Linked DNA regions of Rattus norvegicus. The protein of the gene in region 2 purifies or fractionates together with the protein of the main gene of each other region. This does not show direct contact. Links are inferred from orthologs where the notes say so. Each region holds a gene or a part of one and is shown on either strand. Other genes may lie near its edges.

Region 1 (11,266 bases), on a different chromosome or scaffold from region 2:
TGTGTAAATTACTGACTAAAGAACACAGTATTCAGCCATGCCTGTTAGACCAGCAACAAGAACACAGTTCAAATACCGAGAGGTTCTTACCATCATCAATAGCATTTTTGACAGCCCTCAAGCCATCTCTGATTGCATCCTTGATCTGAGTCAGCGTGTGCTTGTTTGGTCCTTTAACCAGTAAAGTGACAGAACGGGGATTGTTACATTTCTCAATAAAGGTGAACTTCTCCTCACCCTGTGTAGAAGAGAAATTATTGTCAGTAACAGGTTACCCACAGTCATGACGGTCTCTAACTCTATGACAGAGGCAAAGGTCTCTGAGTTCCAAAGCTATACAGTAAAACCTTATCTTAAACCGAACAAACACAAAAACCAACTTATTTCAAACCAACCAACCAAACCCCATAAAATTGTTAACCATCTAATTTTGAGTTTAAAGTTTCCTACTCGACCACTGATAAACAAAAAAGTCTTAGAAAGAAAACACTTACCAATGTATACTCATAGACAAGCCCTGCATGTCCCAAACAGTCAGGATTCAGGTCATCAAAGGAGTTCAGAGCTATCCCACCACAAGCAAGAGTCAGCCTGCAACAGTGAAACACATTGGGGAGATTACAGTAAGCCACGGTGATCAGGTGCAAGCAAGGAGATTCTCAGAATGGCATGAGAGTGTATCTTAAAGCAGCCCCCTTCGCATTCATCATAACCCAGTGGGTAGATGGCCCATTAAACCTCAACTGAAACCTCCCTGCCAGGTCATCAAAATACCAGTCACAAAGAAACCAGACTACAGATGGGGTTCTGTGGGAAGATTATTCCTTAGGAACCTTCTTCCTAGCTTTTTTTTTTTCTTTTTTCTTTTTTTTTCGGAGCTGGGGACCGAACCCATCTTCCTAGTTTTTAATACTGAATGTTTGGTTGAGCCATGTACACAGGCCAAGAGCCTGCCTCCACTCCGTGAGTGGTGGTGGGACTACAGTTTGTGTGCAACCACATCCAACATACTATCTTCTTGATGTTCCTCTAGGCAAGAAAAAACAGGTCTCACTTATGTCATGGTTGAAAAAAATAAAACACATGTCTGGGCATGGTGATGCTTGCCTTTCATCCCAGGGTTCAGGAGGGAGAGGCAGGGTTAATCTCTGAACTGGAGGCCATCCTGGTTTATTATATAGTGAGTTCATATTGAGACCCTGTCTAAAAATAAAACGTATAAAGTAATGTTCATAGAATTTCGTGTAAATCTCAGAACCAACAGGACAACATATACGCAATGGAGCACCAGCCAGCTTTCCTTTGACTTCCTGTTATAAGATATGCCAAGCGAGTGAGATACGCCAGGCTGTCGCTCCTGAGCCCCTCCACTCTATTCCACAAGTGTACTTTTCATGTCAGCTGCTTTCTCTAAGACCAATAAAAACAATGTGCAGGAGAGACAGCGCAGCCATGAGCACCTAGCGTCTCATACACAGGACGAGGCTCAAACCACAACACCCACAGGTTGACTGAGCTTCCCTAACTCCAGTTCTAGGGGTTCTAATGTCCTAAACTGACCTCCACGGACACTGAACGCCCATGGTAAAGACATAAACAGGAAAAATACAGATAGCATGGTGGCACAAGCCTTTAATCTGAGCACTCAGATGTCAGGCAGACAGATAGGTCTCTTTGCTTCTGAGGCCACCTGGGACTGTCTTACAAATAAAATCATAATAAAAAATGTAAAGACGTGGAAAAAGACAAATCTCTTCCATCCACTTTTTGATGGTGTCAAAGGCTAGGAGAAGAAAAAAATAGTGTAATAGTGTAGTGATAGATGATGACCAGTGGGAACCATAGTTAATGAATTGTACTTTATATTTTTTTCTGTGAGCCCACAGAGGCCAGAGGGGGACTTCTGAGCTGCAGGTGGTTGTGAACCATCATTTGGGTGCTGGTAATTGAACTCAGGTGCTCTGTAGAACAATTATATATTTCTAATAACAGAGCCATCTCCCCAGCTCCTGGCACTAACCATATACTCGGAAGGCTGAGGAATGCCAAGCTCAGACAATAGAGTGAAATTAAATGGTAAACTTGGGGACCTGTCAACCAGAGTTCAACCCCTGGGATCCACATGGTAGAAGACACTGTAAGCTGTCCTTGGACCTTATATGCTGTGGTACGCACAAGCCTGCACATACACAAAAAAGCTTTTAAATGTAGATTTTTACAAAGGTAAGACTGCCACAGTAAAAGCAAGAGTCTGTAATCTAGGTCATTTTTTTGAGTCAGTTTCTCTGTGTAACAACCCTGACTGTCCTGGAATTAGCTTTGTAAACCAGGCTGGCCTCAAACTTAAGAGAGCACCGTTCCTCTGCTCTCCCAGTGCTAGGATTGAAGGTGTGTGCCATAGCGCCCACAGTGCCCAGCTAAAAACGGACTATGTGCTAACAGGAGCCAGCAGTAACAGGAAGGGAAGGAAACCAGAGACTCAGGGAGTGTGCAAGTGATCAAAGTGCATCATATGCCTGTATAATAAAGAAATCAGGGACTGGAGAGGTGGCTCAGGGGTTAATAACACCGAATGCTCTTCCAGAGGTCCTGAGTTCAACTCCCAGCAACCACATGATGGCTCACAGCCATCTGTAATGGGATCCGATGCCCTCTGCTGGTGTGTCTGAGACATACAGTGTACTCATATACATAAATAAATCATTAAAAAAAAAAAAAGAAGAAAATCAACAAGTCTGTTGAACTAAAACATGCCAGTAAAATGAAAGCAAGCAGAAGCACGAAGGGAACAATTGTAACTTTCTTAGGTTGGCACCACTCACCTCTCCATGTTTCTCCTCTTGGCTCTGCGCAGAGCTACGATGCCTTCTTTCGCGAGGGCATCTAAAGAGAAGGGGTCAATCCCCTGCATAGAAACAAACATTCTTCAATCGCTGTCACCTTAAAAGTAAGTGAGACTCATTCATAATTTTAAGTTCTTACCTTTTGATTAATAACGACAAATCCTTTATCTGAATCACCACAGACTTTCTTCTTCAGTTCTACGATTTTTTTAACTCTATCTTCAATGAATTTTCTTTCAGCCTTTACTAGTTTCTCTCTCTCTTCTGCACTCTTGTAAAAAAACCCAGAATTCACTTCTCTATTTAAAAAAAAAAAAAAAGAGAAGAGATCTCCATGTTATATGAGCTTTTTAAGGGCCCTGTATTAGGCTCTAAAAAGCAAGTGCTGCACCAGTGGGCTCCACATCACCGAGCCCCCATGTCTCATTACTGTCTGTACTGTAATGAGATGTGCGGACGGTAATGAGACAAACACTAACTTCCTCCCACCCAAAGGGGCCACACTCACGTCTTCTCATACTCCAAGGACACGTTGCATGTGAGGATGTAGGCATTTTCTACTCTTTTCTTCATATCAGGATGCCGTGCTCCATGATCCAAAACAAGCCCTCTGATTAAGCTATAAAACAGAAAATTTATCCCACTTCTGTTAGCAAACAGAGACGGGAAAGTGACACATAATAAAGTAAAATCAAGTAATTCCTACAGTGCTAATTTTTATACAGGTCCACTAGCTTCTAAAGTCGTTCAATAACTTTTCAGTTAAACCTAAGGTCAAATGTGAAAAAGGAATGCTCTAAGACACAAGACAGGCCACCTAGGCAAAAACAAGCTTGCAAGTCTACAACTAGCAGGCTATCCAACTGTGATCACTTCAACTCCTTAAAGAAATGTTTTCAGGGCTGGAGAGATGGCTCAGAGTTTAAGAGTACTGGCCATTCTTCCAGAGGTCCCGAGTTCAATTCCCAACAACCACATGGTGGCTCACAACCATATATAATGGGATCTCATGCCCTTTTTTGGCATGCAGGCATATACACAGATACAGCACTCATACATGTGCACTGTAGTCAAGCGTATCAATACATGTTCACATTTCAAATCACACCGACCACAAACACAGCACAGCCTTCCCTCATCCCCACAGTGCATACTACTTAGAGTAAATGCCATACTCAGCAACCTATCCAGTATGAACATGTCTCAGGACTGGGGGCTGGGGGGAAGCCCGCAGCTCAGTGGTAGAAAGCACTTCAAAGCATTCTCTTGCCTACCTTGTATCAGTTTCAGATTTATGCTTCATCTCCATGATCTCAACCATGAAGAGGTCAATGGGCTCATCTTTTTTCCTAATGGCCAAAATGGAGTCCACCACAGCCTATGAGATAACCATTAATAAATTTAATGTGCAGAGCCTGACACACTTTATTTAGCTGTTGTTCAGAAGAGTGGAAAAGGCTTAAGAAAATTGTCTCTGAAACCCCACAAGTGCTATTTTATGGTGGCACAGGTCCCCAATCTCAGCCCTACAATTCATACTGTATTGTGGACTAGCAGACCAGTTCCCCAAAGTATGACTAGAGACATTTTGGAGGAGTGTCAATTCTTCCTAAGCCTGGCCTGTTACTAACTCCATCTTTCCAAGCTGAAGACAGATTAGATCATTACTGCCCAGGGAAAACCCTAACCCCTTCCTCTACACAGACTTTCTGTGAAAAGCCTACACATGCACGCTTAGAACAGGTTTTTACATCAGACTTTCCCCATGCATTGCACCACACGAGGCCGATACACACCTCTGTCAAGACATCTGCAAGCTCAGCATGAACTTTAGTCCGCAGAGATGTCCTGGCCACATCGATGAGTGTTTCTCTGTCCATCTCTTTGCTTACTTTGACTTGTTCCAAAAACTGGAGTGCCTTTTCCTTTGCAGCTTCAAAGCCTTCGGTTATTATTCTGGGATGGAGACCCTATAATCCAAACAGCTATAAAGCCAGTGCCAACACCTGCATCTTCAACAGGATACCACTGAAACCCAGTCAGTCAGTAATCTCAAGGGACACCCTGGGGCCCTCCTATTCACTACAATTAAGATGGTGTGCTGATTTTCTGAATACATTTAAAAGGACACAGTACTCCTTTCAATGCAGAGGAAAAGAACAGACTTTACTCTAGCACAGAGTCAAGGCCAAGGGAACTACAGAGCACACTTGGGTGTTCACTGTGCAATCCACGAACTCAAAACTGGCTCCTAACATTTTGCTGTAAGAGCTTGCTTCTCTTGTCTACAGGTAATCTGAAACTAATTCACATCATTTTGAAATATTTTTAAAAAGAAACCAGAGTAGGCTAGTCCATTAAAAATATGTAATCATTACTTAGAGGTGATTTTTTCCCATTCATTTCAGACCAGTGACAGACAGGCAGAGGCTCTCTGAGCTAAGCAGCTCAACCGTTCTACGGTGTGCCCTCAGCTAGCATCACATCAATTAGCACCATTAGCCCACCAAACAACAAGCAGAAACTCAGAAACATGAATCATTGTGTACTTCAGAAATGTAGAGGTCCGCTTGTTTGAGCAGCTCTCCGATGATGAGGACATTGGATGTAGTGCCATCGCCGGTTATGTCATCCTGCGCTGTAGCCACTTTTGCTATCAAAGAGGCTGTTGGGTGTTGAATTTGCTGCAGGTAGAAAAAGAACTACTTAAATGACTTATGGTTACCTAGGGTAAAACATAAGAAAGGCTTCTTTTACAGCGTCCCACTCAAGATTGCACAGCATGGCTACATTTTGGTTGGATGTTCAAGACATTCCCTTTACTGGGATGTGAACTACAGGACCTGAAAGTTCTGGTGAGGGAAATGGGTAATTGGGTCAATTTAATATGATCCCAGGGACAAAAATAACAACTCTAAGGTAGCCTGGTGTGAGGCGCACAGCTTTAATCCCAGCATTCAGGGAAAGAAAGTAGGTAATCACTGAGGCTTACACAGTGAGACTCATCTCAAACAAAGTAAGGAGATTTTTCATTTCTCCTGCAGTTGAGTAAAAAGATGATCATTCATTTTTGCTTTTCTTTCCCACTGCCCTGTTTTTGCATATGTAGCTCTGTCTGGCTTTGAATCCTGAGATCTAGTTGAGTACTGGGATTAAAGCTGTGTTACAAGATTTAGCTAAAGCAGACATAGCGATCTTTTATACAATTATTGTTATTATTTTTTTTTTAGCCCAGACTATACAAAGTAGGCCAAAACCAAAACAAAATACCAAGGACCCAAACACACATTTGAGACTCTACAGAGTTCCTCACCCACTACAGCACTTCCTATATTTCTGCTTGAAACGTACGATGAAGAATTTTATCCAGAAGGAACAGGTCAAAAGTTTTTTTTTTTTTTTAATACCTAGCACGGCAGCTTCTTACCATTTCATGAAGTAGCACATTGCCATCTTTAGTAAGTTTGATGTCTCCAGCACCAGATACAAGCCTGTCAAACGGGCAGGGATTGATGAGCAAGAATGTGACTTTCCAATAAAAAAGCAAGTAAGAATTCCACAAAGCAGCCAAGGGGTGATGTATATCACCCAACCCTCTCTTAAAGTCATGCAAATCTCTGGGAGTTCCAGACAAACCATAACTTATCAGTCAGACTCTACCTCGACTAATTACATAATGAAAAGACCCACGAAAGCGAAAGAGGAGTAAAGGGGACAAAAGGAGGCTATGAAATAGGACTCCAAAGCAGGCGTAATTTGAGGAACGGATACGAGAGGCGTGACTAAGAGTATACTTAAAAATCCAAGCGCTACGTCTCAGGGAACTTCACTAATTTGCTGGCTAATAAGGTAACAAAAACAGATCCTCCTGAAATTTGGGTCTTATTCCTACATCCTAGTAAACTCGGGGGGGCTGGGTTCAGGAAGGGTGCACACGCCATCCTCTTCCTCCAAAAGAAGTGGGTGCAACCCGCAACCCCGAAAGGCGCGAATCCGGGTGGTTTGGATGGGATGCAGCACAAACATTGTAGAAAATGCTAGTGCGAAGGCCTGGAGGCAGCGACTGGAGTTTGCGGCCATTGACCCGCCAGGCCCTCCCGCCCGCCAGCCCGGGCTTACATCTTCATGGTGCCTTTAGGGCCCAAGTTGGTCCTCAGAACATCCTGCAGGCCCCGTGCCGCGCTGATGTTCACCGCCAGCGCTGCCTGCGCCCGGGCCACCTCGGCTTTGGGATTTAGGGTCTTCACCGCCGCCATGGCTGGTCGAGCTCAGGGAGAGGCCGAGAACAACGTGCTCTATGCGGGTCTTCTCGAAAAGTCTTACGCATCTGGCCCGCCCCCAGCGTGCCCACAGAGCACCTCCATTGGATTGTGGCTCTCTTGGTGCCCGCTGATTGGCTTATCCTGACGCTGGTCTCTCTGGGCCCGCCCACACGCCAAGTCGCGACGTCATTGCGCATCCGAGAAACTTGTTCTCCGGTAATCCGCACTCCGAATTCTAAGGTTCCGTTGTGCTCGCCTCACAACGTTGCGGTTCCGCGCTTTAAGGATTACGGCGTGGCGGTTGCGCGGCCAGTTTTGCAGGAAAAGCACTACTGCTCGTGTGTGAGGGATGCTTCGACCTCGGCACTCGACTGGGCGTGACAGGAAGCAGAGGTGTCGGCCTCTATTTGCGGGGTGTCTCTAGCTACTGGACTCCGGGATGCTTCCCTCACACTCTCGCGAGGTTTCCCAGGTTCATTTGTCTTGCCTATTTTTATCCGTGAATGTGGGAACACAGAAAATGGACCCTTCCCCTCTACCCTGGTCATTTAAAAATCCCGGAGTTTGACGGGAGCATTATTGCTAGGCAGAAAGTACTAGATGGCTTTAGGAGTGGTGCGATGGGCGTTGAGGAGCCTCAAGAATCAGTCTATTCTTAGGGCCCAGGTCATTGAGGCAGTTTTGTTTTCTTAATTTTTAAAAATATGAAACAAAGATTCACTCTGTGTCCCGGCTAGACAGCTCACTGTCTAGCTTCGGACTCGTAGCAATCCTCCTGCCTCAACCTCCAACGTGTTATGAACTAAGCCTGCTAAAAACTCAAATATGGCTGGACAGTGGTACCCAGTCTTTGAAAGCATTCCTTTAAACATTAAAAAACAAAAACAAAAACAAAACCAACTAAGCGTATAGATGTTTCCCCTGCCAGTATGTCTGGGCACTTAGGTATAGATACGATACGTGCTGAATTTTTTTGAGTCACTTCTCCACACAGATGACAACTCATAATGCCGTTGGATGTATTCTACTGAGCTATACTGAAGGTTTTGCCATTTTGATAGGAATAAGAAATTCTCATTCCCCTCAACATCTGTGTGATACTCATTACAGAAACGATACATAGCCAGGCGTAGTGTCATATGCTTTTAATCCCAGAACATGGGAGGCAAGCAGATCTCTGTGCCTTCAAGGCCAGCCTGGTGTGCATAGCAAGTTCCAGGCCAACCATGGCTACGTAGTGAGACCCTGTCCAAAGAAAACAGAAGGTTTAGCAGGTGTATAGGTTCGAAATACAGAAAATTTAAAAAGGAAAAAGAACTAACCAGTCATCGGACTGACATTCCCAAACCTCTTGCTATTCTGGCTACACTAAGTATAATGTTTAAAGTAGCTTTGGAGATTTGAGAGATCGCAAAAGCTGTGCATATGATATTTGGCATGCAGAAGACTCGTGTTTACGTTTGTAGACCACTTGGCAGTTTCATCATCACTGCTGGTAAAACAAGGCAGAGGGAGACTGCAGAGTCAGTCGTCTGCTTACAAAGTAGAGAACAGGGCAAGAAAATGTTGGATCGAGTTGGAAAACTCAAGACTGCCCAGGAAAACTCGGTGCTGACACTGGAGATAATATAATATTCCCTAAAACATTAGCGAAGCGTATATTGGAGCTGCTTTTTCTTTGTTTGTGGCTTGTTTTCATTTTGAGACGAGGTCTCACTATGCAGACAAGGTTAGCCTTGAACTCCTGATCCTCCTGCCTCTACCTACCTCCTATTTATTTGTTTGTTTATTTCATGTGCATAGCCATTCTGTCTGTGTGTATATCTGCGTACCAGAAGAGGCCTCCTAGGGCTATAGTTGTGAGTTGTCATGTTAGGTGCTGAGTGTGGTACACAGGACCTGTGGAAGAGCAGCCTGTGCTCTTAACCGCTGTGCCCCCCGCTCGATCGATCTGCCTACCTCCTAAATGCAGGCAGTACAGGCATGCACCACTAGACCCACCATTTTGGGTGGGAGCTTAACCTCTGAACTATGTATGTCCCAGTGACTGTCATTCTCAACAGGGGATATCAGAACGTCACCACATCTGACTAGACTGGTTTTGTTTGTTTTTTCGTTCGTTTTGTTTTTTTGAGACATGTTTTTTCTGTGTAGCCTTGTCTGCCCTGGAACTTAGTCTGTATATCAGACTGGCCTCGAACTCAGAGATCCACCTGCCTTAGCCTTCTGAGTGCTGTAAAAGTGAGTGCCACTACATGGCTTGGTTTTTTTTTTTGTTTGTTTGTTTGTTTGTTTTTTGGTTGTTGTTTTTGTTTTTTGTTTTGTTTTGTTTTTACAGTGGCCTAATTCACTAAATGACTACATTATAATTTATTTCACCAATTTCCCATTGGGTCAAATTTATTCTGATATTTTGCAACTAAAAATTTCTGTGACATTTCACATACATGCTGGGATGCCTGTAAGATACATTTGAGATATGTGATTATTACATTCTTTGATCTACCCCCAACAACTGCTTTCCCATCTTTTTAAAGAGTTTTGTGGTTGTTTGAGACAGAATCTCAAAAAGGTTTTATTACACTCATTTGTGTGTGTATAGGTGTTTGCATCTATGCCAGAGTATATTTAGAGAGGTCAGAGGACTACTGTGTGTGTGTGTGTGTGTGTGTGTGTGTGTGTGTGTGTGTGTGTGTGTTTTCCTATGGAGCCCTGGCTATTCTGGTACTTGCTGTAGATCTGGCTGGCTTCAAACTCACAGAGATCCACTTGCCACCACCTCCTGGACCATGTGGGTCCTTGGGATCAGATTCAGGCCACCAGGCCTGGAAGCAAGCACCTTGACCATTGAGCCCATCATTTCCAGACAGGGGTCTCATGGAGCCAAAACTGGCCTCAAACTCACTGGTTGAAGATGACCTAAAGTCCTGATCCTCCTGCCCACTCAAGAACTGGGATTTGCTTGACCACCACACCTTTAATCAGCACTCAGGAAACAGAGGCAGGTAGATCTCCAAATTTGAGGCTAACCTGGTCAGTCTACAAATCAAGTTCCAGGACAGCCAGGGACATCAAATCAGAGATACACAGAGAACCTGGTCTAAAAAAAAAATTAAAACATTATTTATTTATTTTATGATTATGAGTGTTTTACTGTTTGTCTGTATACCACTTGCATGCCTGATACCCTCAGAAGTTCGAAGAGCGTGCAGGATCCGCTAGAATTGAGTTACCGATGTACTTTTCTTGGCTCTGTGGGCGCTGATTGCTTGTAGACTGTCCCTAATACATAACTAAAACTAATTTGAAAATCTTTAAAAGACATAAGAGGGCCACAGAAATGGCTCAGCAGTTCAAAGCATGTGCTGCCCTTACAGAGGGCCCCGGTTGGTTCTTAGTACCCAGATGGGGACTCAAAACCATTCTTCACTCTAGCTCCAGGGGATCTGAATCCCTCTCCTCACCTCGGACGGCACCAGGCACACATGTGATGCTCATGCATGCATTCAGGCAGCAACATTCGGGCTTATTAAAAAGAAATCAAAACCCAAACAAAACGAATTAATCATCACTTAGCTTGAGATTCCCTAGCCATGGCTCTGATGTGTTGCTTCTGTCCTAGGGTCTTATCCAGGATTGTAATCAGTGTCGTGTCCTTCAGTCTGAAGAGGTGCACGTCCTACCACTGAACTACAGTCCCAAACCCGGACCTCATTATTTTCTTAATTTATATCTTTAAAAAAAAATACAAAACTAACAGGGTCTCATGTAGCCCAGGCTAGCCTCAAACTTAGTATGTTGCTCAGAATGACCTTGTGCTGATTCTTTTGCCTCTGTTTCCAGAGTGCTAGAAGTATGGCCATGTATTGCCACACCAGATTTTGTTTTGTAGCCCAAGATGACCTGAAACTTGTTGTGTAGCCCAGGCTGGCCTCAAACTGGCAGTCCTCTCACCTCAGATTCTAGAGTACTGAGATTAACAGATCCGTACCACTTTCTCTGCTTGAACTTGGCACGAGTATGGAGCGGTTATTTTAAAGACTTAGTTCTGTGTGGTTTGGTGTTTTCTAGTGATTAAATTTATTTTTGACAAGAAATATTACAGAGATGGTGTGTCCTTGTGGCTTAAGGAGAGTCATGTGATCCCAGTTTATCCAGTTG
Region 2 (9,678 bases):
ACCTACTCTAGTAATGTTTTTCAAGACATGGATTCTCTGTGTGGCCCTGGCTGTCCTGAACTCACTCTGTAGACCAGACTGGCCTCAAAGTCAGAGACCCACCTTCCTTTGCCCTCCAAGTGCAGGGATTAAAGGAAGGCACCAACACCACTGCCTGGGCTCTAGGAACATTTTTGTCATTTTTTTTTTCGGAGCTGGGGACTGAACCCAGGGCCTTGCGCTTGCTAGGCAAGCGCTCTACCACTGAGCTAAATCCCCAACCCCAGTTGTCAGCATCCTAAGTACATGTACACTTACCATCATAGGCTGTGCACACGGAACCTGAACTCAAACCATGTGGTAACTACTAAATTACAGTCCCACATCAGAGCCAGCCAGTCATTCTGCACGCTAATGTTAATATCTGACAGAACAGCTGCTCTTCAGTACGAGTGGCACAAAGTTTTTTCTATCAGTCACCATTGCTTCCCTGTGGTTAACTATAGGATTGCAGTGAGAACCCCTTCCAGTCTGGGACATGTCTTTTGTTGGGGATTTGGCAGGGCCAAGTCCTATTGCTTGGGAGACTGGAAAATTTTCCTCCTGAAATACCTGAAGTACACTTCCATTTGGAAGTTTTGTTTTGTTTTTAAAGATTTATTATATAAGTACACTGTGGTTGTCTTCAGACACCAGAAGAGGGCATCGGATCCCATTACAGATGGTTGTGAGCCACCATGTGGTTGCTGGGAATTGAACTCAGGGCTTCTGGAAGAGCAGTCGGTGCTCTTAACCGCTGAGCCATCTCTCCAGTCCAAACTTACACATTGTTTTTAATCAGTGAGCACAGAACATAGCAGCTAATAGAAACTAGAAAATGGTCAACTGCTCAAAAGAACCACAATACCAACCAACCAGAGCTCCCAAGGACTAAACCACCAACCAAAGAGTCCACATGGATTGACCCATAGCTGCATATGTAGCAGAGGATGGCCTTGTTGAACACCAATGGAAGGAGAAGCCCTTGGTCCTGCCAAGGTTGGACTCCCCAGTGTAGGGGGAATGTTGCAGGGAAAGGGGAAGGGAACACCCTTATAGAAGGGGAAGGGGACGGGATAGGGAGCTTATGTCTGGGAAACTGGGAAAGGGAATAACATTTGAAATGTAAATAAAAATATCTAATAAAAGAAAAAAATAAAGAAAATGGTCAACTCATCACTAGTCCCACCTGGACCCACTCAATGGGTGATGAATCCGTGATCCAAATCAGGGACAGTGACAGCTATGTGACAGGGGCAGGAAGCCAGCCTGGATTATCTAGAGAGATGCAATCTTAAAGGGGAAAGGGGAGAGAGCTGTGAACCAGAAGCCAGTTTCCCACTTAAAACGGAAACACCTTTATTGACAGTATAGGACAGTTAAAACGCACGCAAGGACAAAGATGAGACCACAGAGGTGTAAAGTTGCAGCACAGGAGTTAATATTCTTCACCCTCATCGTCTCCTTCAGCACTATCTGCCCCAACCTCCTCATAATCCTTCTCTAGGGCAGCCATATCCTCACGGGCCTCAGAGAACTCCCCCTCCTCCATGCCCTCACCCACATACCAGTGCACAAAGGCACGCTTGGCATACATCAGATCAAACTTGTGATCCAGGCGAGCCCAGGCCTCAGCAATGGCTGTGGTGTTGCTCAGCATACACACAGCTCTCTGCACCCTGGCCAGGTCGCCACCAGGTACCACAGTGGGAGGCTGGTAATTAATGCCAACCTTGAAGCCAGTGGGGCACCAGTCCACAAACTGGATGGTACGCTTGGTCTTGATGGTGGCAATGGCAGCATTGACATCCTTGGGGACCACATCACCACGGTACAGCAGGCAGCAAGCCATGTATTTACCATGGCGAGGGTCACATTTCACCATCTGGTTGGCTGGCTCAAAGCAGGCATTGGTGATCTCTGCTACTGTAAGTTGCTCATGGTAGGCTTTCTCAGCAGAGATGACAGGGGCATAAGTGGCCAGAGGGAAGTGGATTCGAGGGTAGGGCACCAGGTTGGTCTGGAATTCTGTCAGATCAACATTCAGGGCCCCATCAAATCTGAGGGAAGCAGTGATGGAAGACACAATCTGGCTAATAAGGCGGTTAAGGTTAGTGTAGGTTGGGCGCTCAATGTCGAGGTTTCTACGACAGATGTCATAGATGGCCTCATTGTCTACCATGAAGGCACAATCAGAGTGCTCCAGGGTGGTGTGGGTGGTGAGGATGGAATTGTAGGGCTCAACCACAGCAGTGGAAACCTGGGGGGCTGGGTAAATGGAGAACTCCAGCTTGGACTTCTTTCCGTAGTCGACAGAGAGCCTCTCCATCAGCAGGGAGGTGAACCCAGAGCCAGTTCCCCCACCAAAGCTGTGGAAAACCAAGAAGCCCTGGAGACCCGTGCACTGGTCAGCCTGTGGGAGAAAAGTTCATTTCAATGTTGATATTTTGTGAGAGCTGCAATGGGTGTTTCTGAGTTTGCAATTAACAATTTATAACCTTGGGAGTCTTCAGAACATCTAGAAGAGTTGCAAAAGGATTCGAAGTGCTCAGTGACTGAGAACCTCTGAGGAATAGGGGCATTTCCCAAAACCGATTTTTTTTTCATACACACCAGATGAGAGCATTAGACCTCATCACAGATGGTTGTGAGCCACCCATGTAGTTGCTGGGATTTGAACTCAGGACCTCTGGAAGAGCAGACAGTGCTCTAAACCTCTGAACCATCTCTCCAGTCCCCCTAAGTGGTTGCTGGGAGGTTGTCTCTGGTGACCTTGCTGTGGGTCCGATCACAGGCACATGCACCTCTCTTATCAGTTGGAGTTATCAAAAGGGCAGGATTCAGACTTGCAGATATGTTGCCAAGTCGGTGTGAAATGTCAGGACAGCCAAGTTTCACTGCCCAAGTTAGTGTCAGGCTGGAGGTGGGTGGCCCTACCTCCTCATGTGTGACCTGACAAATTAAATTCCTCTGCCTCACTTATTAGTTCAGGTTGGGAATTAAGAGTACTGGGAATGATGCTTGGCACAGTACACACTCGGTATGTGGGGCTGATTCATTCTGGGCAAGGAGAGCTCCTTATACATTAACATTCCACTAGGCCTAGAATGGTTTCCGCTCCATCCAAGTGGTCTACTCTGACTGCAGGCCAAATCTGACCTGATACCCAGGGAGAGAACCTGGTACGTACTAAGTATTTCTACTGCCCGGCTATCTCCCTACCCCTAATTATTTCAAATAGTCTTCTGTTGAGACTCTTAACTCCGCAGACATTTAATAACTGACCCTTCAGGTCACTCATGCGTCGTCCATATTCTGATGACATACGAGGACTATCAGGAAGATCCTCGTCGAGTCACATCCATCATGCCACTGGGGTACACAGTGACACCAAGGTCAATTCTTCTGGTTGTGGTCATCCCAGAACTGTAAATGCCTTTTACTTGCTTTCTGTGCCTTGGAAGGCAGGTCCCTAACATCCCAAGTCTGTGTTGTTGCTGAAATGTCCTTAGCTACAGCCATTTGCTACAATCTTTCCATGTGTGAGGCTGAGGTAAAACTGGTGCTTTTTAGAACAGACCATGTGTGGTTGGACTTAGCACAAAGTGATTGACTTTCCCGACAAGCCACTCCACCCCACCTGCCTGCCTGCCTGCTTCCTTTCTGGTTAATCACTTACAAGCCTCACAGAGTGGGTAGAGTGGTCATCTGATTGCCAGACTGCTCATTAAAACACACTTCCCAGAAGAGGTAAGGGCGTCTAGGACTAGAGTTGCTTAGGACTGGCCCGCCAGAGCCAGTTCGCATCCCTGAGTGCTAGGAAATTGTTTTTCTGGGATTTCTAACCTTAGAACTTCAGAGTGCCATCAACATAGGTTGTGTTTTGCAATATGGAATCTCCTGACTCCATCTCAAGCTTTGCTGGAGGAAGACTACTTTTGTTTGTTTGCTTTACTTTTCTTTCTTTTTTTTTTTTTAATCTTTTTCTGAGACAGGGTCTCTCTATGCAGCCCTGGATGTCCAGGAACTCACTCTGTAGACCAGGCTGTCCTTGAACTCAGAGATCCACCTGCCTCTGCCTTCCAAGTATTGGGATTAAAGGCCTCTGCCACTACCACCTGGCTAGCTTAAGGGTTCTTCTGTAGGCCGCCTCATTTCCTGGTTTAATTTTACTTTATGTATATGATGTTGCCTGGATGTAGATCTCCATGCCTTATGTGTGGTGCCCACAGAGGCCAGAAGAGAGCAACAGATTCCCTAGGATTTGAGTTACAGGTATTTTGTGAGCCACCACATGGATGCTGCGAATCAAACTTAGGTCCTCTGGACAAGCAGCCAGTGCTCTTAAGTGCTAAGCTACCTCTTGCAGCCCCTATAAATGGTGTCAAACCAGCTTCTTGGGCTCTGAAACTTTGTTTCTTCTGTTCTGAAGACTGAACCCTGGGGCCTGTGTATGCCAAGTTGGCTGCTCTATGAACGAGTTTTATTCACATGAAACTCCAGTCCAGATTTCCAAACGAGCTTTACTTATTAGTCACATGTAGGCCTTAGCCACCTACTCAGTGTGACAGAGAGGACCTAAAAAGGGATGTGAATGTCTGAGCTTGAAACGAAGAGACTTAACATGGCCTTCAGGATTAGGGGACTGGGAAGCTTGCTGGTCTCACTCAATATACATAAGACCCCCAAGTCTTGGTTAGAACACAGAACACAACCCACTATTCTTACCAGCTTGCGAATTCTGTCCAAGACAAGGTCAATGATCTCCTTGCCAATGGTGTAGTGGCCACGGGCATAGTTATTGGCAGCATCTTCCTTGCCTGTGATGAGCTGCTCTGGGTGGAAGAGCTGGCGGTAGGTGCCAGTTCGAACTTCATCTGAAAAAGGAGAAGACATCAGCCAACACCACCAAGGACCCCACAAGCTCACTCACCCTTCCGGGTCTGGAGAGACATTCTGAGTATGTGACCAAGAAGGACTGCCCCAGGGAAGCCCCCAGTCCGCTTACCAATAACTGTGGGTTCCAGGTCTACGAACACCGCCCGGGGCACGTGCTTGCCAGCTCCTGTCTCACTGAAGAAGGTGTTGAAGGAGTCATCTCCTCCCCCAATGGTCTTGTCACTTGGCATCTGGCCATCAGGCTGGATGCCATGTTCCAGGCAGTAGAGCTCCCAGCAGGCATTGCCGATCTGGACACCAGCCTGGCCAACGTGGATGGAGATGCACTCACGCTGTGGAAGGGACGGAAGAAAGTGTCAGAGCATGACGCACCAGGACCTGGGGCTTGACTCAAGATAGGATCACTTTTCAGAGGCCACTCCTGCCTGGGACATTTCACAACCAAGAATTTTTACTGAAGAGCTAACTCAAGGGAAAAAGTACTCTGGAAGGCATTAACGCTAATAATGACCTACTAGGCAGGGCCAGGCCCCTCCACAGATTGTGTTCACAGTAGTTCAGGATCAGTTTTCTAATACTATAGAGCGGCAGTCAAGTTCATGCCAGAATTCCCCAGCTGAACCCTTGGACTGAAAGCGGAACCTTTCCATCCTAGGGCTGAGTCAAGGGTGACTGTCACCCCTGAGCTCACTACAGTTCTTCTTTATTCCCTCTTTAGGAGACAAAACTTCCTCTTCCCTTTAAAACCAGCTTAAACTAGCCCCGTGACTCACAGAAAATGCCAGATAAGCAGACAGTTGTATGCTAAGTGTGGCCAGAAGCAGCCTTGCCCCCAGTGAGCACACTAATCTGCCTGAACAGTTTTCCTTCCCGGTCTCTCTCCTAAAACTTTACCGTAATAGTAAGAAATGGGGCAGGAGAGGTGGGAGAAGAAAGGGGAAATTAGCGGTTCCCTAGTAGATCAGATTGCATATTTCTGGCACTTGTGGAAAAGTAATTACAAGAATTTAACCATGGAGGTCAGGGGACGCAATGGTTTTCCTTTCCTTGCTCAACAGTCACTCTGAAGTTACCAAAGTTACCATTCCTGATTGGTCCAATGAGTGCAGATGCTGAACCCACAGGATTCACCATACCCCCCAGTGAAACCCCAGCATTCATAATTCAGTGTGAGGTGAGCACTTTGAATTTGGCAGCAAAACCTTCCTTCAAATTTGACATAAAAAGTCTCCAACTGTTGCTATTCTCCTTAAGTAGTAAAGTCTCTCAGGCTTTTAAAAGTCCTTGGTAGGAAACTCATTCAACACCCAGGTTTTCTAAGGAGAAGCTTCTCAGGCCAGAGTAATCAAACAAGAAGCCATTCCTCACAACCTTTGACCCGTCCCTCTGTGTTTCCCATAAAACAATCAAGGGTTCTGACCACATCGGTGAGCTCAGGGTCTCCTGCCCTGAGGACTGTGGGGGAGGGGCAGCTCTGGTTCAAGTGACCTTTACCTGGACTTTAGAACCTCCAGTCCCCAGAAGCTAGACAGAGGCACAAGGCCCAGGGAAGCAGTGTCTGAGGCCCATTGATTCTAACGAGGCACTTCAACTGTAGCCTTTTGGTCCCCCAATTTCTGGTTCTAAACGGCTTTGTTGTGCTGGCAAGATGGCTTGAAAGAAGAGTTAAGGTCGATTTCTGCCAAGCCTGATGACCTGAGTTCAATCTAAGGGACCTTAGTGTAAAGAAAGAGGGAACCAACTTCCCAAGTTGTCTCATTCCCACAGGCATGCCGTGGCACACATGCATCCACTTGATAAATGTGAAATCTTTAAGATTTCACAAACCCACTCCTGGCAGCTAAGAAGGAAAAGTCAAGAGGCACACATGAATCATTTAGTCTAGCCTCAACTGGATAAGAGGCTTGCTTGTGTAGCGAAACCATACACTTAAGCCCACGCTTGCCTAATAGGTGAGCCTGGGGCTTTTCTGAACTGTATCTTTGTGGGTTTGCTTGATCAAAAGCAAGCCGGTTGTTACACTTTTGTAACCTCAGAGTCGGTTGTTACACTTTTGTAACTACAGAGTCGTTGTTACACTTTTGTAATTAAGGTCCGGTTACTCATACTCACCGAATCCCTCTTTCAGAATACAATTTTGAAAGTCTCCCGGAGTGTGGGAGGCCAGTAGGCTCACCTGGAAAAAGCTTACCACTGAGCCTGAACTCGGAGTTCAACTCTGAGGAAAACTGTCCTCTCCTGCCCCCGAAAGCACACCAACCACCTCAAAGTACACTCACAAAAGCGAGTGAAACAGAAGGCAACAACAGCCTTTGGGCTGTGGATTTAGCTCAGTGGGGAGAGGTCTTGTGTAGCATGTGTGAAGTTCTGTGCTCCATCCCGACACCACACAAAATGGTGGCTCAGGCTCCCGGTCCTAGTGTAGGAGGTAGGAGATCAGCAGTTCAAGGTCATCCACAACTCAGATCCTTAGAGGCAGCTTGGGCTACGTGAGGACTGTATACCCCACCTCCCCAAAGCTTCCATAGATCTTAAATGATTGCTCCTTATTTTCACTATCCCTGGGCTGCTCTGGAACAGCTGAACCCTCTGGTGTGGGGAGACGACCTTGACTGTTTCATAAGAAACAAGTGGGAAGGAGCTGCTAAGTCAAAAGGTGATCAATGGAGTTAGCTTGGATTGTGAAACTACGCCCTATGCCGGGATGGGGTTTTCTTTTACATTTCTATTGGCAGCTGACCATGTGTCTGATTTTGTTTCCTTCTCTTCTGATGAAAACCCAGTAGCTTCTACGCTAAGTACATGGTCTTCCAAATAATTAAACTTATTTAGCAAGGAGGGGCCTTTTACCAAAATTAGTCACTCTGTAGCCCACACTAGCCTGGGACTCACCGGGGAGCCTGAGAAGCCCCAAACTCATGAACAATCCCCCTGTCTCAGCCTCCAAAGATTAGAGAACTAGCTGCTCCCTCCAAGCTGTGCTGAGTCTCACTATGTACCCCTGGCTTACCTGAACTCAGAGGATTCGCCTGCCTCTGCCTCCAGAGCCCAGCCACTGTCCCGAGAAAACTGAACTAATGCATTGTTAGCCAGGGTGAGTAATCCTAGGCCTTGGTGGTGGAGACAGAAGGATCCTAATTTTAATGAAAGGTCATGCTTGGCCACATAGTGATTTCAAGGCCGGCATGAGCTTCATAAGACACTCAAAAACCAAAATTAGGCTTGCGTTTAACCCCAGCTCGGGAGGCAGAGGCAGGCGGATCTCCGAGCTGGAGGCCATCCTAGTCTACACAGTGAGTTCCATGACAGCCAGGGCTACACAGAGAAACCCTTTATGGGGGGGGGGGGGGGGGACGGAATGCTGTTGGTAGTTTAACTTTATAGAAAAAAATCTTTATAGACATTTTTCATGCCACTGAACTAACACACTAGAAACTAGACTGGCCTAGGGGATCTGACGTCCATTATTCCCCTCCTACGGAGGAGCTCGCCTTCCCAGGTACACAGCTGGAAGGTCCCGGGACTGGCCACAGGTGACTCAGCAGCGAGTCACAGGGCGTGGAGACGGTGCCCGGAAGTATTTGCTCAGCCCTGTCCGCAGCGCACGAGGTCCTCTGGTTATCCCAGCTGAGAGAGCGACAGCATTTGAGAAAATGAAGAGCTTTTAGTTTCTGCAAACTCTTGCGGTCATTGTGAAAGTTCTCTGTCTTTCCGAGAGCGACTGGCGGCCTAGACGGGATGCTCTCCCAGTACGATCGAGACAGAGGTACCGGGACGAGTCTTCTAGCCTAAAGCGACACTAGTTTGATGGACTTGGGCTCTCAAACCCTGGTCGCCAGAAGCCAGTTTAACTGGAGGCGGCCGTCGGGGGCTAGGGCAGGTACGGTCTCCCGGGCAGTCCTCAGCTCCCGCGGTCCCTTCAGACGACCTCGCCGCTGCCCCAAAGCCACACTTACCATATTTAGTCCTTGAAGTGGTCCGCGAAAACTGAGGAAGTGAAGAGGGGGGTGACGAAGGTCTCCCACTAGCAGACTACCAAGGAGTCCGGGGGAGAAGCTGTGTGAGGTCCGCCTCCCGGAGAGTGCTTATATACCCTGGCCGGGCCACGCGTCGGGAGGACGGACACCGGACCCCGCCCCGGGCCGCACGGAGGCCGATGATTGGCGAGTTCGAAAGTTCAAATCAAACTCCGTAGAAGGAGCTGGAAGTGGGAAGGGGAGGAGACACCCAGGATCCACGCCAGGGCCAGGTGGGGCGGGGAAGGAGGTGGAGAAGGCGATTGGAAGTTGGAGGACAGCGAGATCTTTGTGGAGCTCTGACCGGAAGAAAGTCCCAGGTAGAGGGGGGCGGCCTGGATCGGCCCCCGGGGACTCACAGCTGGTCGCCACGGCACTTGTGGCTCGGTCGCCCCACCCAGGTCTTGGAGCCGGGAAGAGTGAGCCTGAGAGGTGACCGGGTGACCTGCGGCTGCCGGCTGGGTGGTGACTGCGACCGCTTCAGGGGGCTAGGATGGAAACGCCCAGTTAACTTGACGGCACAGTGGGAAGGGTGGAGCTGAAGTTAGCCGAGGCCAAAGCCGGTTACAGCATCATCAGGCTGCAGCTCCTGAAGGCAATCTTTCCTAACCTAGGTCTCAATACCCGCCAGCGGGTCCTAAGCACTTTTTACTCCTACCCTCTAGAAGGCTAGCCCTTCCCTCCTTCCTCTCTTCTCCCACCCCAAGTCCTGAGGATATCAATCTACCCGCGTATCCCCAGCGCC
Region 3 (10,625 bases), on a different chromosome or scaffold from region 2:
AAATGGGGAGGGAAGATCCTGGAGTGGTGAAATTTTTCTCCATATGTTTTTGTGCACTGTTATAGTGTGAGCTGTGTACAAATTTATAGCATACTGGAAGCTACACTTTAGAAACTATTAAACGCAAGGCAAACGAAGCCCCTCTGTCACTCAAGCGCAAGACCCGGCTCGTTTCCACGTAGCTTTGCGAGCTGGGACCCGCAGTCAGTGCATAAAAACTACATTCCCCAGCGTCCTTAGCGCCCATCCCTCCGGCCATTAGCCCACGTGAAGTGTAGGCTCAGAAGTCAGTAGTTCCGGGTGGCGAAGGATAAGAGCTTCTCCGAGGCTTTCGTCACTCTCCACCGCCCCTTCCGCAGGTTATATCGCGAGAGGGCTGTAGCCAATGAAAAGGTGGAGCTGACAGCTCATTCGCCGCCCTTAACAATTGCTGTGAGGTTGAAACCTGCGTGAACCTGGTCGGTGCTCTTGGTCTGCGGCTCCCTCTCTCCGTAGGCTTCACCAATAATCCAGGTACGGCAGAGGGTTCTGTAGCCGATCTTGCCACTGCGTCCCCGTGTAGATGAAGGACACACATCGGCTGCACATCCGGCTGGGCTGGGGGCGGCTGGGAGGGCCTCGTCTGGGCGGCTGCGGAGGCTACGGCGCATGCGCCCCAGTTAGTGCGAACTAGCGTCCTCCCCACCCCCCGGAACTCCTCCACCAGTCCCTTGAGCTCAGGGAGTGGCGAAGAGTCCGCTGACAGGTACACGGGGTTAGGGTTTCGGGTAGGAGTTTGTAGGGGAACAAATAAGTGTCAGCCCCCCCAGTTCATCGGTAAGAGTAATACTTAACAAATAGAAAGTTATGGGGAACCACTAAGCTACACATCCTTAGCCCCACCTAACCCAGCGCAGCACTTATTAGTCTCATGAAGCTCTGAATTTAAACTTAAAGGTCTGTGAAAACCTCAGGGATAAGCGACTACTATGCCCTGTTAATGGCAGATTGTGAGTAGCTGGTCTCGGATCCCTTCATCTAGATCTTCCTGAAGAGTCACAGTCTTATTGTATCTCTCCTCCCCAGGTTAGGGAACCTGGGGATACAGCTTTTAAGTTGTATAATATTCATGAGGAGCTGAAAATTGAGGCTTAGAGGGTAGTTTAGGGATTTTTTTTTTAAAATAAATGGTCTTATGTAGTAGCCCAGGCCTGTCCTCCAAATATATCCAAGGATGGTCTCAAACTCCTGATCCTTATGCTTCTGCCCTTGAGAACTGAGGTTACAGTCATAAGCCACCGTGCCCAGGGTTATTTTGTGTGCGAGTTGATTAGTTTTAGCTGCCAACTTTATGCAGTAACTTACAGTCACCTGGGAAGAAAGACTCATTGAGAAATTGGGTAAATCAGGTTGGCCAGTGGGTATCTTTATTCTGGGGCCTACATGGCTGAGTTTTAAGGCCAAAATGATGCCTCCAACATGGCGCCTGTTAAGGTCTCAGGCCTTATAGAGACCCTGTCTTTTAAAGAAAAACAGAAACAAAACAAAAAGAAAACAAAAACAAAAAACCCAGAGTGTAAACTTAATACTTGTTTTTTTATGAACCCCTCCCCTCCCCCAGCACCAAGACCATTTAGGAAAATGGAAGGAAATGGATCTATCGACATGTTCTCAGAAGTCCTAGAAAACCAGTTCCTCCAGGCTGCTAAGCTAGTGGAAAATCACTTGGACTCTGAAATTCAGAAACTGGATCAGATCGGTGAAGATGAGCTGGAACTGCTCAAAGAAAAGAGACTGGCGGCGCTCCGGAAGGCTCAGCAGCAGAAACAAGTAACCTCCGCCTGCTCTCTGAAACCACTGTAACCCTGTGCTCCTGACTGCACTGTGCAGTCATGTGACTTTCCCTCCTCACTTGCAGGATGTTCCAAATTCACACGACACTGTTCAGTAGCTGCCCAGGAATAAAACATTAGGGAAGACTTAGGCAAGATGTACCATTTGACTGAGGCGATGACATGTGAAAGAGAGACATTGAGACTTTTTCTTAGGGCAAGCTTAGGGTCCACACATCAAAAAGAAATACGATGGTTGTGTGTGAGAAAATATTTCTAAGTGTTAGACTTGCGTTTTTATTAGGTTGTCTTGTCTTTTGTGGGAGGGCAGGACAGGAGCAGGATCTCACTGTGTAGCCATGATTGGCCTAGAAATCTCAGACATTTTACCGCTTCTGCCTCCGAAGCGCTGGGGCCCAAGGTGTGCACCAGCACCCCCATTCTGTCTGTCATCTTCATGGCCACTCAGTGACATGGTTGGGTTGTTGCACCCACTTACAAGAGAGAAGGTGAAGTGGAAGGCTCCTTAAAACTGGTCAGTGCGCTTACCTAGGAAGCGCAAGGCCCTGGGTTCGGTCCCCAGCTCCGAAAAAAAAAAAAGAACCAAAAAAAAAAAAAAAAAAAAAAAAAAAAAACGGTCAGTAAATGTCGGATGGGCGTGGCCACTGCAGCCTCCCTTGTTACTTTTCTCCTAACCAGCAGCCTGAAAGGGAGAGTGAGCATCCGTTGAGGTGACAAGCTTTCTGCTACAGGGAAGGGGAAGGGGCTGGAAGAGTCCCAGGCTTGGTTGACAAAGGCCCTGCCTCAGCTTGGGAACCTGAATTAGATGTGAGGCTTTTTTCCCTGGCTTTGGACACCACGTGGGTGGGATACTTTTCCTTCTGAGGACTCTGCTCACTATTGGCTGCTCTAGAAGCCCCGGCCTGTTTTGAGATTACTGTCAGAAGCAGATAGGGTCCTAAGCTTCCTGAGCTTCGATAACTGCACTGTCCCCCAGGGTGGATGGGCTTTATTTCATGAGGTGGTTTGGTTTAGTTTGGTTGTCTGTTTAGTTATGCTGTGGATAGGACATTATTTCTTAAATTTGAGATTGTCATAGGATTATATCATTCCCCCTTCCCTTTGCTCCTTCCAAGCCATCCCATATTCTCCCTTTCACGCTCACAGCCTCTGTTCTCACTAATTGTTGTTACATCCCTATATGTGTGTGTGTGTAGACATACACATTTCTAAATATGCCCTGCTCAGTCTGTAATGTTAACTCGTGTGTACATTTTCAAGACTGACCATTTGGTAGTGGACAGCCAGTTGGCGTGCTTTTCCCTGGAGAAGACTCTTCCTCCCACTCTCAACATTCTTTAGTTGCCTGTGAGAGCATTACTTTCTAAAGTGTAGAAAATAGTGAGTGTGTGTGTGTGTCTCCGTGGTAGAGCTCTCCTGTCTCCTGCTCTTGCTCCTGGTTCAGTCCCTCACATCACAAAAATAAACCGAAAAACCGTTTTGTAATCAAACAACCCTGATTTTATTAGTTTAAAGAGCACACATGTGAAAGTTAAATTGGTATTTTCATGTTATGTCTCACAGACCTAAATTCTGGCTGTGAAACTTAAAATGAAGCAGGTAAATGAACAAGGTGCAGAACTGCCCTAATGAACCCCTGTCATGAGACGGTCACTCCTGCCCACAGACTAGCTCTGCACAATGGCCACTGAGATCCTAGGAAAGCCAACTGCTGAAGGAACACCTGCTATGCAATAGAATTGATTCCCTTACAAAATTACACAATGATTAAGAGATATAAAACACTCGGTACCACGAAAACACGTGTCAGCTGGGTCTCTTGCTTCTCTTGAAATTAGGAATGGCTTTCCAAAGGACACGGGGAGTACAGGGAAATCGGCAGCGAGAGAGACTTCTTTCAAGAGGTCAAGGAGAGTGAGAAGGTGGTTTGCCATTTCTACAGAGACACCACATTCAGGTAACCTGGCTTCCGCTCTTCTCTCTACTGGGATGAGACATGTGCGTAGAGACACTGCTGACTTAGAGCAGTCACGTGTGGTGATGTGGTCACAGGTGTTTTCATTATTGTGAAGATTAGCCTAAGCCAGCAAGCACCTTGCAAGTAAATAAGTCGGTCTTATCTGAAGTCAGTAGTCCTGTGTAAATGTTTCATTGTGCCGAGCTGTGGTTTCTCCATGTAAGTCAAAAGACATCCAGAAGTAAGTGCTTGTAATTCTTACCAAAACAATAATTTGATATGCTGTGTTCATAGGATGCTGGAAATTGGGAGCCAACAACTTTCATAATTGTTTATCCCTTCAGTCTTTGTCCTCTTGGTAAGGACACAGTGGCTTGACCAAGTCTTTCAGCAGAACTGCAGTTGGAACAGTCAGATTTGGAGAGAAGTAATTTCCCTTAAGGCAACCCAGAAAGTAGCAGGACTCCCGAGTTACATTTTTTGAGGGAGAGAACTGAGAATTTGGACATGCTAAACAACTGCCCTACAACCAAGCTCAGCCCAAGAGGTGGTGTGTGTGTATGTGTGTGTGTGCCTTCAAAATGGGTTAGTTGCCAACCTTTGAAAATTGACAACTTAAGAACTAGTCAGATTTTTTAAAAACTAGAAAAGCTGATAACAGATTTAGAATCATAATAGCAATTTTCTGGTGCTGCCTTTCTCAGGTGGACGTGCAGGGTAACTGACTCGCTGCACTTCAGCCCTTCCTCAGTAGGGAGAGAAGACAGGGCTGAGGTACAGTGAGGGCCTCAGCTTAACCTCAGAGCCACCACTTCAGTGTTAACGCTTTTCAGGGCCTGAGTGCCTTGGATTAATTTACTGAGAATTAGAAAGGCAGAGGCATAAGAAGTGCCAGCCCACCACAGCAGGGGTAAAGCAAACTACCAAGAGCAGAAGTCAGGTGGAGGTAACTGATGGAGGAGACAGTGAACCACTGGGGTGCTCACCTCCAGGCTGATCTGGGAACCCAAATTCAAACCATTCTATTGTCTTGTATACAGCCTCCAAAGTCCCCTCACAGAGTAAACTGGGCACATCTGTGAATGAGCATTTGTCTGTCAAACATTTATCGTAGCCCTCTGAGGTGTGGGTCACGATTCTCTTCCTTGCATGGAGAGTGAAGTGACTCGGCTACTGGGTGATGGAGGAGTCCCATGTTTTAAAAGTGAGACTGCACTTTTATTAAGATTTATCTATTCTTTGGGAATAAATGTGTGCCTTGCCAGCATGTGTGTCTCTGCGGCGTACGTGCACACAGATCAGAAGATGGACTCAGATGCCCTGGGGCTGTCATTGGGAATGGATGTGAACCACGTGGGTGCTGGCAGTGGACCCTGCAGTGGTTCTCTGCAGGAGCGGCCATGATCTTAACGCTGAGCATTCTCTTCAGCTCTGCCTCTGGGTTTTTAACTGCTGTTCTGTTCTGTTCTGTTCTGGTAGGTGTTTCATTTGTTACTTGTTTTGTAGAGGTTTTTCTTTGTTCAGTTTGTTGATGGTGGTGTTTTTGCAGTGTTAGAGAATAAACCCACAGCTTCATGCATGGCACAATTTTTCTTTTCTTAAGACAGGGAGGGTCTTGCTGTATAGCTCTGGCTCGCCAGGAATATTCACCTGCTTCTGCCTCCCACGTACTGGAATTGAAGGCATACAGCACAATGCTAGATTTTTAAAGATAGATTGATTGCTTGTGAGACTAGACAGAGGGCAGCAAGGAGGATCTCTGTGTTGAGCTGTAAGACCTTCTCTCAGAACAACAGCATGTACTAACTGACAAATGGCCTGGTCATAGGCTTTATTAAAATAGGTTCCTTCTACAGTTGGAGTGTGGAGGGAGTTTATGTTTCTCACAGATTCGTAGTTTGTTTTGAGCATCATTTAAAACCTGTTATCTGCTCTTTTTCCATTTTATCTCTAAAATCTTGTCTTGTTTTGTTATTTTGGTTTTCTGAGACAGTGTCTCTGTGTAGACCAGGCTGCCCTAGAGCTAACAGAGAATCTACCTGCCTCTGCCTCCAAGTGCAAGGATTTAAGGCAGGTACCACTGCACCTGGTCTAATCCCTGAAGTCTCATTACTGAACCATCTGGCAACCATCTTAAGCCAACAAGACAAGATTAGACATCAAGGACGCAGGAAATGCCTGAGCCCGGACCTAGTTCTAGAGTGACCCATGTACTCAAGAGTCACCTGTGCACTTCCCTGTGCCACCCGGAGACTTTCCACTCATCTGTAGTCTGTAACAGTTACCTATTAGTGAGTGGTAGTGGGGCACAGGATTCCTGTCTCAAAATAAATAAGTAAATAAGAGTCACCTCTAACGAACCCTGTGCTTACGAACCACTGATCATAAAACATTGGCAGTTCATTTAGAAACACACTAGGAGCTTGGTTTGTGTAAAGCAGATTTTAATTTAAAGACAGTGTTCCTTCCTCTTCAGGCTTAGTAAAGAGTATGGAGCTGAATGAGCATTTACTGGGTTCCGTGTCTGTCCCTGAGGAGGGGGGAGTCCCTGCTAATACTGCCCATTTCTCTAGAACACACTAGCCATATTTAAAGAGTCTATAACCTTTAACCGAAGAGCTTCCTGACAGTTACATGGTTCAGAGAGGTCTCGGTGACTCCAGCTTTCAGTCCTGAATTCCAAAGGGGACACCAGCTGTATTTTGCCTCTTGTGAGTTCCGTCAGCCTCAGGTCTGTCTTCATGCACAGGGGAACCAAGACCCTCCTTGTTTTTATCGTAAGCGTAACAGTTCATAAACTCATAGACTCAGAGAAACTGTGAGGTGGGCTGTGCAGGGCTGCTCCTTTAGCTTTTACTTCTCTGCCTTAACTTCCAGGTGTAAAATACTAGACAGACATTTGGCAATTCTGGCCAAAAAACATCTTGAAACCAAGTTTTTGAAGCTGAATGTGGAAAAGGCACCATTCCTCTGTGAGAGACTGCGGATCAAAGTTATCCCCACATTAGCTCTCCTGAGAGACGGCAAGACACAAGATTATATTGTGGGATTCACCGACCTGGGAAATACAGATGACTTCACTACAGAAACTTTAGAATGGAGACTCGGTTGTTCTGATGTTATCAATTATAGGTAACGTTTAGCTAAAACAAAAAAAACAAAAAAATAGACTGTTTTGAAACTATGCATAGTCAATAGTTTTAGAGATTTTTTTCATTGTACTTTTATTTTTGTTTTTGTTTTTTAAGACAGGATTTCTCTATAGTTCTTTCTGTCGTGGAACTCTCTGTAGACCAGGCTGGCCTTGAACTCAGTGATCTGCCTGCCGCTGCCTCCTGAGTGCTGGGATTAAAGGGACACACCACCACATCTGGCTAGTTAACATTTATTTTATGAAAGTAAGGCCTAATAGCTAAATTGTGGACAGCTTGGGGGGAAAAAAAAACCCAACACTTCTCAGGGCATACAGCAGTGTGATCTTACAGCAAAACCAAGTTTACAGTTAAAGACAGGTTTAGAGGTGGCCTAGACGTTTTCAACGTAAGAAATGTTACTGAAACTAATTTTAGAAGCCCAAAGTGGCATTCCAGAATAGATTACCTCTGTGTGAGGGGGGCCTTGTTCTTTGTTTTTTAATGTTAGAGATTCAACCCAGACCCTCTCGTACGCTGGGCAGGTCCTCTGTCCCTAAGCTATAGGCTAAACCTTGCCTTCCCAATCTCTGACTGACTTAAAGGACTCTCTGTGATGAAGTTAAAATCGCAAGCACGCCAGCCAGCACAGGAGGCGTTACGCTTGTGCAGTTGAAACCAGGCCCTCACAATGCTAGCTGTGCTGGCCCTGAAGACTGTGGAGACAGTAGGGTTTTAGGGTAGACTCTTGTCTGTCTCCTGTGCAGTCTACAAATGCAAAAGGTTTCCCTGCTTCTCTTACTCTGGAAAACAGTTAAAATCCCGCTTCTGGTTTTTTGTACATGACTTTTATCCCCTTCAAATTGAAAGTTACTACCTGTGTTCTGTGCCTCATGCTTAAAAAGAGAAAGGAAAAAAAGACAAGGAAAATTGTGCCTTTCAAAGCAGAAAATCTCCCCTTTTCTTTCCCTACTGGTCAGTTTCTTCTCGTTAATATTAACATAAATTAGCATTGGTTCAACAACATGGGAGACATTCCTAAACTATAGAAATCAACTTCTCTTGTTAATATTAATAAGTTAACATTCATTCAACCAAATGTTATATTTTGAAGGTTTTGTTTTGTTTTTTTGACATTTGGAGACAAGGTCTTACTCTACAGTCCATAATGTTACTCCTCCTGCCTCAGCCTCCCAAGTGCTAGGATTACAAATGGGGTCCACCGTGCCCAGCAGATCAGTTTCAAGTGTTGATTACGTTGCAAGCTAACAAAAGAAATCCTCACACGTCTTTACAGTGCCTTGCCACTTTTAAACGCGGTGTCAGACGCGCCTGTAAGTTTCTTTCAGAACTACTTGAGTGTATTTCCTTTTCTTGAAGGTATACTTCCTAAGAATAGGACATTGTCCTGCACACTACCTGCACTTACTAAAACAGTGACGATGTATTTTATGGAACCTACTCAAACCACCATCCTCTTGTTGTTCTCCATGTCTGAGAAATAAGTCATGTCTAGTTTTTGCATTTAATTCCTGTAAGGATTGGTAATTTAATTTTCAAGGTGACAGCTTTGCCGTGTGGTGGCGTGTGTCTTTAATCCCAGCACCTGTGATGCAGAGGCAGATGGATCTCTGAGTTTGAGGCCGACCTAGTCTACAGAGAGTTCCAGGACAGCCAGGACTACACAGAGAAACCCTGTCTCAAAAAAAAAAAAAAAAAAAAAAAAAAAAAAGGTTGTGAAAGTATACAAGCTAGCTAATTCCTCAGATGCTCCCAGTCTGAGATTGTGAATTTATCAGTGTCAGACCCAGATCCTGTGGCATGGCTAGTTTTCCACAGGAGGATGTCCATGCCCTCATTCCTCGTGCATCGTAAGCCATCGTCTCTATTTAGTGGTAAGGCACTGGGTAGAGCACTGGCCTGTCATGCTAGGCAGTTGTTGGATGAGGAACTGCCTGTTCCATTACTTGCCCACTTAATGATCGGTCTGGGCCATGACTGACTTTATCCTGTGGGTTATCATCTGTAAGTCTTGTTATACTTTGATCCTTCCTGTTTGATCCAGACGAAATATGACCTCCAGGAGAACTTGTGGTTTACTCTCCAGAGTTAGCTGTGTTTCTATATTGATTAATTTATTTACTGTTTGTTTAGGATAGGCTCTCCCTACATAAGCCATGTGGTCCTCAACTTCTCAGTCCTTCCTTACCCTCCTGGCACCTGGAATCACAGTGCCGCCCCCACCTACCCCCATCACACCTGCACGCGCGCGCACACACACACACACACGCACACACACACACACGCACGCACGCACACACACACACACACGCTCGCGCGCACACACACACGCTCGCGCGCACACACACACGCACACACACACACACACACGCGCTCGCGCGCACACACACACACACACGCACACACACGCACACACACACGCACACACACGCACACACACGCACGCACACACACGCACACACACACACGCACGCACACGCACGCACACACACGCGCACACACGCACGCACACACACGCGCACACACGCACACGCACACACACACGCACACGCGCACACGCACACGCACACACACACCTGTCTCTTGTCATTTATTTCTCTAGCATCCTTGTTTAATGCTATTTCCAGGTTGATAATAGCACATTCCATGAGTCCGTCAATATGTGTAGAAATGTAACACTGAGGTGCTACCCAGGAAGAGTCACGAGTCCCAGCAGGAGCTCAAAAGCAGCAGTGTTGCCTGTCACTGGCACGGGGCGGCACAGGGTCAGTGCACCTTCGCTTTTCTCTCTGCCCTAGCATGCAGAGGGCCAGTATCCTCTCCATCACCCCAAAATTGTTTATAGCAATGATCATGATAACCAAGAAATTCAAGCATTGTCTAACACAGTTAAATAGTATATGAAACTATTAACTTGATATGCGTGCTTTTTATAGTCTAGCATCCTGCGGATACTAAATCATAAAGAATAAAATGCTCTTATCCTTTGTTTCACTTTCAGTGGAAATTTAATGGAGCCACCATTTCAGAGCCAAAAGAAATTTGGGACAAACTTCACAAAGCTGGAAAAGAAAACTATCCGAGGAAAGAAATACGATTCCGATTCTGATGATGATTAGACTGTGCTATACTTTAAAACTTTCTGTCTGTCTGTGTGTATGTCTGTCTGTCTGTCTGTCTGAGTTAACGTGTTTTCTAAATTCCACTGATTTCGGCCCATTGACCATCTGATACTCTTATCCCAGCGTTTACACTGTTTGACCATCTTGTCTATGGTCATTATGTATAACCTGAGAGAAACAGATATTTTAAATTACCTGGGAAGGGTCTGAATTCTCTATTTTTGTGGTTGTTTTTTTCATAATGTGATTCTTCTATCTTTAAACTGCTCACACTTGTGTTTTTAATCTCCTGCATTAGAAATAGAAATTCAGCCCACTCTTGTAGGCCCTACTGAGTGCTGACTATACACCAGGTTGGACACCTTCCCCTGGGCACCACATGCACTTCCCTGTCAGCGATCCACTTCATGGAATGGCTTTCAGGAACTATTAAAGACTTAACCATGTGTTCTGGATACAGCATGTTGAATCTGCTGAGACCAGCAGGAAACTCAGGTTGTGAGCATGTTGTCTTATTTAAGGGATCCTCATTGTTAAGTACATGCTGAAACATGTGAAAACT

Evidence for each region.
Region 1: the proteins of Tuba1c (region 2) and Cct6a purify together in Homo sapiens (affinity purification with mass spectrometry; 3 studies listed by BioGRID and IntAct, with this or other methods). This does not show direct contact. The link is inferred for Rattus norvegicus from reciprocal best matches to the Homo sapiens genes TUBA1C and CCT6A.
Region 3: the proteins of Tuba1c (region 2) and Txndc9 purify together in Homo sapiens (co-immunoprecipitation; 3 studies listed by BioGRID and IntAct, counting the BioPlex papers as one, with this or other methods). This does not show direct contact. The link is inferred for Rattus norvegicus from reciprocal best matches to the Homo sapiens genes TUBA1C and TXNDC9.

What each region holds. Positions count from the first base shown.
Region 1 is NC_086030.1:32,511,956-32,523,221, forward strand, and holds the start of Cct6a (T-complex protein 1 subunit zeta), read right to left. Parts: upstream 7,118-11,266; 5' UTR 7,100-7,117; coding exon 6,963-7,099; intron 6,335-6,962; coding exon 6,271-6,334; intron 5,528-6,270; coding exon 5,393-5,527; intron 5,073-5,392; exon of another isoform or gene 4,938-5,072; intron 4,814-4,937; coding exon 4,640-4,813; intron 4,222-4,639; coding exon 4,118-4,221; intron 3,463-4,117; coding exon 3,352-3,462; intron 3,143-3,351; coding exon 2,983-3,142; intron 2,906-2,982; coding exon 2,823-2,905; intron 592-2,822; coding exon 495-591; intron 239-494; coding exon 91-238; intron 42-90; exon of another isoform or gene 1-41. UniProt on the Homo sapiens protein: Component of the chaperonin-containing T-complex (TRiC), a molecular chaperone complex that assists the folding of actin, tubulin and other proteins upon ATP hydrolysis.
Region 2 is NC_086025.1:132,070,264-132,079,941, reverse strand, and holds Tuba1c (tubulin alpha-1C chain), read right to left. Parts: upstream 8,959-9,678; 5' UTR 8,877-8,958; coding exon 8,874-8,876; intron 5,339-8,873; exon of another isoform or gene 5,250-5,338; coding exon 5,027-5,249; intron 4,896-5,026; coding exon 4,747-4,895; intron 2,432-4,746; coding exon 1,457-2,431; 3' UTR 1,353-1,456; downstream 1-1,352. UniProt on the Homo sapiens protein: Tubulin is the major constituent of microtubules, a cylinder consisting of laterally associated linear protofilaments composed of alpha- and beta-tubulin heterodimers.
Region 3 is NC_086027.1:47,707,560-47,718,184, reverse strand, and holds Txndc9 (thioredoxin domain-containing protein 9), read left to right. Parts: upstream 1-423; 5' UTR 424-513; intron 514-609; exon of another isoform or gene 610-745; intron 746-1,600; 5' UTR 1,601-1,620; coding exon 1,621-1,809; intron 1,810-3,670; coding exon 3,671-3,789; intron 3,790-6,666; coding exon 6,667-6,921; intron 6,922-9,942; coding exon 9,943-10,060; 3' UTR 10,061-10,511; downstream 10,512-10,625. UniProt on the Homo sapiens protein: Significantly diminishes the chaperonin TCP1 complex ATPase activity, thus negatively impacts protein folding, including that of actin or tubulin.